Linked DNA regions of Danio rerio. The protein of the gene in region 1 interacts with the protein of each later gene in a biochemical or structural test. Links are inferred from orthologs where the notes say so. Each region holds a gene or a part of one and is shown in the gene's direction. Other genes may lie near its edges.

Region 1 (3,828 bases):
CCCTTTTAAAACATAATAACTTAACATGAATAGAAGTAGACCAAAAGATCATCAAAAGCTAGACATCATGCAGAAATTCAAAAAACAAATGAGTAAGAAAATGGAGATCTATAAGCCTGGAAAAGGTTATGAAGGCATTTCTAAGGCTTTGGGACTACATTGAACCACAGTGAATCTGCAAATGGCAAAAACATGAAACAGAGGAGAATCTTCTCAGGAGTGTACGGCAGACCAAAATTACCCCAATAGCACAGAGATAATCAAGAGGTCACAAAAGATCCCATAACAATATCCAAAGAACTGCTGGCCTCAGATAGTGTTCATGACTCCACCATAAGAAAGAGATTTGGCAAAAATAGTTTGCACGGTTAAATTCCAATATGAAAACCACTGCTAAACAAAAACATCATAAAGGCTTGTCTTAGTTTTGCCAGAAAACATCTTCATTATCTCCTAAACTTCTGGGAAAATACTTTATGGATTTAAGAGACAAAAGTTGAAATTTTTTAGGAATGTTTGTCACATTATGTGTATCATAAAAGTAACAACGCAATTCAGAAAAAGCACAACTGTAAAATGTGGTGGCTGTGTGATTGTCTGGGCCTATTTAGATGCTTCAGGTCCTGGAAGACTTCCTGTAATAATGATCCAAAGTACACCAGCAAGTCCACTTCTGAATGGCTGAATGAATAACAAAAAGACTTTGGGTTGGCCTAGTCAAAGTCTTGACCTAGGGCTGCTTGATTTTAGGGAAAATCATAATTACGATTATTTTGGTCATAATTGTAATCACAATTATTTAAAACAATTATCAGTTTAAGTCAAAATTATTTGCCCTCCTGTGAATTTTATTTTGAATGAATATTTCAGAAAATATGTTTAACAGAGCAAGGAATTTTAACAGTATTACCTTTTAATATTTTTTTTCGTCTGGAGAAAGGCTTATTTGTTTTATTTTAGCTTGAATAAAAGCAGGTTTAAATATTATTTAACCTATGTTAAGGTCAATATTATTAGCCCCCTTAAGCAATATATATTTTTGATTGTCTGCAGAAGAAACTGTTATACAATGACTTGCCTAATTACCCTAATTAAGTCTTTGAATTACATTTTGAATCTAAATGCTTGTATTTTGAAAAATATCCAATAAAATTTAATGTACTGTCATCAGAGCAAAGATAAAATAAATTGGTCATTAGAAATGAGTTATTTAAACTATTATGTTTAGAAATGGGTTTTAAAAAAAGGATTTTCTTTCCATTTAACAAAAATTGGGGGGAAAGGGTCGCTAATAATTCAGGTGGGCTAATAATTCTGACTTCAACTTTAACTTTCCTCTCTGCTAGGAAAGAATAATAAAAAAAAAAATACAATTGAATAAAAATATGAAACAATCTGTGCTTTAAGCATCTTCAGTCAGAAAAACACTTTAGCTACAAAAGTCCTTCAGTCAAGAGCAGTGAGTGATTATCTCCTTTTGTTGTTTGATTAATAATGATAAAAACAGGCGGCAGCAGGAATATTGCTCGCTGTAACTTTAATGGTTTCTCTTTCACTTGTCTTTTGATTCTTAACTCGTTTGTTTATTACACAAATGAGGGTTAATGTGAATAATCACTAAACACCGCGTTTTGACACCTAGTTGACCATTGAAAGCGCTCTCGTTAAGATGATTTTAGATGTGTGCGCTCTGCTCTTCTCAGTGTGCAAATGCTGACCGATGCGGTCTCGTTCGCGCTTTTAAAAACATGATTCGAATGTATGTCAGTGAACGATGTTAATGCGCGTTAAAAAAAAAAAAGTCATGTAATTTTATTACAAGAGATCATGTGATGATAAAAATGTGTGAATGAACAAACCAGCAGGCTGAGCACATTGTAAAACATCTGAACTGTTGTTTTGGTCATGCAAATGTTAACTTAAAGCACATGCTTTTAGTCATTTTCATGTAAAGCTGAGCTTTGCAGAGCAACAAATGTATACAACTGAAAACGGGGCGGCATATGATGCAACAATTGTTCATCTCGATTAATGTTTTTTTCATAATCATAATCGTAACCGGCTTTTCGATTAATTGCACAGCCCTATCCTGACCTGAATTCAATTGAGATGCTGTGGCATGATTTTTAAAAAGGCGGTTCATGCTCAAACCTTTCGAATATGGCTATATTACTGCTATTCTGTTAAGATGAGCAGGCCAGATTTCCTCCTCAGCACTCTTAACAGGTTATCAACAATGCCTAATTGCAGTTGTTGCTGCCAATTTATTAGGTTCATGAGGCAAACGCTTTTTTCACACAGGGCTATGTAATTTTATATTTAGTTTTCCCTATAATAATTATTGAAAACCTTCATTTGTTTGTTATCTTTGTGTAAAATTTAAGTTTAATCAAACACAAGTGTGACAAACATGCAAAGAAATCAGTAAGGGGAAAACACTTTCACACCACTCTATATGCACATTTTGGGATATTGAATTACAAATAAACTAATTGAGCAAGCATGCAAATTCTTCATTTGTAAATAAATTAATGTGCACTTTATGTAATAAGGAATTGTGTATTTATGACAAATGAAAACACGTTTGCACTCAACCATTTGTTTTATGTGTACAGTGAACTACGGCCAGGGATGAAATCAGTTCAGGTCGTTCTCAGGTAAATAATTTGGCAAAATCCTACCGGTAAATCAACTTTTAGTGTCAGAGGCATTTACTGCACACTAACATGCTCTTTTCTTCTCCCAGAATTTGCTACACAGACTCTATCGGCGTTCAGGAGGACCAGTATCCTCCCAATATTGCTGTGAAAGTGAATCAGTCCTACTGTCATGTACCGGTAAGTGTTGTGAATCTGATTAGGCTGTAAGAGAGAGGAATGTTTTACAGATTTGGATGATCGTAAATCTGAACTCTTTATATAAATAACTTTTGTTTTTAGCATTTCTCATAATCGCATTCAAAATGTTTTGCTGTAAATGTGTTTATTTTGGTTCAGGGTTACTATCCCTCTAATAAACCGGGTGTGGAGCCGCGGCGGCCCTGTCGACCTGTCAACATCACACCCTGGTTACACCTCTCCACAGTCACTAACAGAGTTACCATCACATGGGGAAACTTTGGGAAGGTATGAAGATGTGTTGATTATTCACATTTGTGTTTAGATGCTTGCGCTGTTGCTGACTGTGGTGTTTTTATTGTTTTGTTTTTTTGAAGCGATACTCAGTGGCAGTGTACCTAGTGAGAGTGTTCACATCTGGAGAGCTCTTCAACCAGCTGAAGCATTGTTCAGTGGAAAATCCTGATCGTTGTCGTGAAAGAAGTATGTTTTATTGCCTTGATATAATATATTGTTTCATCATCAGAGGTTAAATAAGAGTTACAATTTTTTTAGAACTCAAACACCTATCTATTGCACCTTTGGACAGACACTTAATGTTATTAATCTATTAAATGATTTTTAGGTTAACAAGTCTTAAGGTGTTTTGTCTTTAATCTAATTCCAACATTTTTCTTTAACTTCGATTTATTGGAATATAGTGGCATAAATGTCATTTTTGAAACTTGTTTTTATGACAGATTGAAACATGGATTACATAAAAACTTTGCTAACAGGTTTAGTAAAGGATAAATTAATATAAAGGTTAAATGGATAGTTCACCTCAGAATGAAATTGTCATTTTCAGGAAATCTTCTTTTGTGTTGAACAGAAGAAAGTCTTGAAGATTTAAAACCACAAGAGGGAGGGTAATTGATGTCGTAATTTTTATTTTAGGGTGAACTATCTTGTAAATCTAGAGCAAATATTCGTATTAATACTATTATTAGAC
Region 2 (3,828 bases), on another chromosome or scaffold:
AGAAAATTAAGGCTTTTAAAAGGTGTTAAAGTCTTAATCAGGTTTTAATGAGGTCTTAAATTTTGTTCAAGCGTTGTCTAAAGTGTTTAACTCCAAAAAAGCATAAATGTATTCATTTTCCTTGATCCTTGCAATTGGTTTGAGCCAAGGCACGTTTAGCCAAGCTCCTCCATTCGGGTGACGTCATGTAATTTGCGGCAAACATGGAAAGGTGACGTGACACTTTCCACATATAGCGAACCCATAGAGTGGAACAGATAGCAAAATGGGAAAATGTAAGTTTGAGTACTTCTGATTTGAGAAAGATGGGTTTAAACAGTGGCTGAAGCCTGTCGCCAACAAAACAATCACGTTTGTTTCTTCCAGGCTTCTCTGAGTTTTGTTACACGGTTGTGCTTCATTGATTTATTGAACTACAACTGTTTATTAATATCTGTTTATTAAGGTCAAAGTTTAATATGGATTAGGACTTAGTGGCAATGAAGTCTTAATATATTCTAAGAAGGTCTTTAAAAAGTCTTAAAAAGGTATTAAAATTAACTTAAGGATTGCTGCATATACCCTGGTAATGTATTCAGATGAATAAACAGCCTTTTCAAAACTGTTCAAAAATGTTTTTTTAATAAATCTTCAATCAAACAGATGCGTCACATATTCTAAACCAGATCTATTGATTATTTAATGTCTACAAAATATAATGTAGTGTGTAAAGTTTTTTTGAATTCTTTTATTTGCTAGCAGTGGTTGGAAGGGAGGGATTTTAGCGTATCTTGCCTAAGCTGTCAATCATCTGACAAGAAATGCCATTATAAAGTGAAAGCAAATGTGTAGAATATGTATAAGATAATGTAAGTTGTATAAAGTTAGCTTTTTTTTGTAGATTTGGTGACTTTAATTTAAAAATGTATTAACATAAATAATAATTGGGTAAGCTAAAAGTGTCTGTAGTGTATATGTGTGAATGAGGGTATGAGTGTTTCCCAACGATGGGTTGCAGCTGGAAGGGCATTCACTGCGTAAAAACATGCTGGATAAGTTAGTGGTTCATTCCGCTGTGGCGACTCCAGATTATTAAAGGGACAAGCTGAAAAAAAAATGAATAAATGAATTAACATAAATATTTAATAAGGTACATGCATACAGTAAAGTTTCGTTGTGACAAACCAAGTCAATTTTCATTTTAAAAAGTCAAAAGCCAAGTTTCTTTCAGTTCAGTTTTAAAGCAGCCCTACACAAATCGTTTTTCAGCTTCATTTGGTCATTAAAATGCTGTGTGTTTCAGGGTGGCAGACACACAGACTATGTTGCAGATCAGATTGTGTCCAAACTGATTGAAGTAGTGAAAAAGAAGAACAAGGCTGGAGTAGCCGTCAAACCTTTCCAGGTACATTCAGATGTTCTGCAAACTGCATCAAATAGTATTGCCTTCTCATGGCATTCTAAATTAATCACCATGTGCTGGTTTAACTTTGTGTGCAGGTCAAGAACCATATGTGGTTGTTTGTGAACTGTCTGATAGAGAACCCCAGCTTTGACTCCCAGACGAAAGAGAATATGACCTTGCAGCAGAAGAATTTTGGTTCTGCCTGCTCTCTGAGTGACAAGTTTGTTAAGCAGGTAAGAACTGATTTCTCGATCATTCATTGCTGTAAAAAATCATGGCATAATGGGTGAGAGTTTAGAGTTAATATAAATATGTTAGACGTATTTTACTGGTTAGTGCATGTTACTTGAGTTTTTTCAACACATTATTACCATAAAACAAAGAGAATGGGATTTACATGCAAAACAAACTTGACAAAATTACCCTTAATGTTAGAAAAGATTTCAACAAATTCTCCAACCAGTGGAACCAGTGGTTTCTCCCACATGCTCTTATTTGTAAAATCATTTTAACTATCAAGCATGTTTTATTTGAGTGTGTTGGCTTTACTTCAGTGAGGAAGGTATTTCATTTAGTTCATTTATTTGAAGTATACATTTTTAGCAACTTTTATAGTTTTAGCAAAAATAGTGTAAAACCTTAATGTAATCAACAACTCCAGCATACTTTTTCTCACCATAAAAATGGCCATGGAAGGTGAAGTGGTGTTTTAACATAACAAATCTTACCATCAATCTCTTAATAGCCTATTAGTTATATATTTAACAACCCAAAAACCTTAATACTGTTGTGTTTTGTTTCTCACTTAATGTATTCACTTTATATTGCAATGCATTAACAATTAATTGCAATTTAATTACTCAACTTTGTATCACTAAATCAGGGTTTTGCTAATGGTGGTTAAAGATATGTTTAAGTTGCAGTCAATTTGTCAACAGTGAAGTCATGACTTAAAATCAGAAAGACTTTCATTTGATCAGCTCAATAAATTTGTAATACTTGAATATGTCAAATATGTGTAGAACTTTTTTTGCTCTGCCACAAATCTTCCAGTTATGATTCCTGTATGACTGCCCTTGGATTTTGACTACTGTTAGTGCAATTGAACTTTTAAAGCTCTAATAAAATCCTAATCCATCTATGTCTGCAGGCTAATGGGTGTGGAATTGTGGAAAGCATTATGAACTGGGTGAAGTTTAAAGCCCAGGCTCAGCTCAATAAGAAATGCTCAGCTGTCAAACACACGAAGATTAAAGGAGTACCTAAGCTGGATGATGCCAACGATGCAGGTAACAAGAGGTTTGTTGTAATGTTAAATGGTCACGACACCTTCAGCCTGGATGTTCATTGCCGGGTGCTTTGTTTGTTTTAGGTGGAAAGAACTCCAATAGCTGCACTCTAATCCTGACCGAAGGAGACTCGGCCAAAACTCTGGCCGTGTCGGGTCTGGGTGTTGTGGGACGTGATCGATATGGTGTCTTCCCTCTGCGTGGTAAAATGCTCAACGTTCGAGAAGCTTCACACAAACAGGTCAATGACTAAAAATTAATCACTTTCATTTTTAGTTACATACCCCACAAAAGTTATTGAGAGAGAGAGCAAGAAAAAGAGGGGTTCCTTTCAGAAGAATTCCTCCATATGCCCTAATCCCTTTGTAGGATCCCTTTTGAAGGAACTGGAGCCCTTCCAAATTTAATGCAGTGTGCGACTCTAAACAACTTCCCTCCTCAAAGAATCATGTGGGCCAATGTATCTATCAGTTGTATTTTTCAAAAACACCAAATCCAGCACTTAGAAGTGGCCATTTTTGAGCACTTCAGTTTTGAACGACATTTCGGAGGGGTAATTCTATCGCCTTTTGGATGGCACTGTTTGTAAAACACTCATGCCATCAGGCTCACTTCGCTTATGGCTCTCTTACGCCACCCCTACACTATTCACCGATGCCAAGCTGACCAATTACAGATCTTACGCTACATGTCTCTTTGTGTACTTAATTTTTTGAGAGATGTGGCATAACGTATGGCTAAGGGTGTGCGATTGTTTAAAGATTGCGCTTCACTCTGTGCAGAACTATGAATTAGCCTTAAGCAGTGTACCATGGTCTTTTACTTAGCAAATTATAAATTTGAGACCAGCAATAATCAAACTGTCTATAATAATGTCGAATTAGACATTCTAGGTTGGCTCAATTGTATTTACTCAATAACGAAGCACCACCTAAATGTAATTACTGCCAGACTGCTCTTACCCTGAAACATATTTTGTTGGAATATGGAAGTTTGAATACCATTAGACAAACTTGTATAAGGAAAGTACTTTGGACATTTTATAAAGGTGCCACCAGGAAGAATCTTAAATTATTTATCAAAAATTGAACTAAAAAAAGCATTTAACTTTGAATATATTTTTGTGTGAATTTGATTTATATTAAATATATTTGT

Evidence for each region.
Region 2: of the proteins of pias4a (region 1) and top2a, one has a biochemical effect on the other in vitro, tested with the Homo sapiens proteins (2 studies listed by BioGRID). The link is inferred for Danio rerio from reciprocal best matches to the Homo sapiens genes PIAS4 and TOP2A.

The regions. Positions count from the first base shown.
Region 1 is NC_133197.1:20,264,241-20,268,068, reverse strand, and holds part of pias4a (E3 SUMO-protein ligase PIAS4-A), read left to right. Parts: intron 1-2,615; coding exon 2,616-2,657; intron 2,658-2,746; coding exon 2,747-2,837; intron 2,838-2,996; coding exon 2,997-3,125; intron 3,126-3,214; coding exon 3,215-3,320; intron 3,321-3,828.
Region 2 is NC_133187.1:11,266,735-11,270,562, forward strand, and holds part of top2a (DNA topoisomerase 2-alpha), read left to right. Parts: intron 1-1,282; coding exon 1,283-1,384; intron 1,385-1,479; coding exon 1,480-1,617; intron 1,618-2,534; coding exon 2,535-2,673; intron 2,674-2,756; coding exon 2,757-2,914; intron 2,915-3,828. UniProt on the Homo sapiens protein: Key decatenating enzyme that alters DNA topology by binding to two double-stranded DNA molecules, generating a double-stranded break in one of the strands, passing the intact strand through the broken strand, and religating the broken strand.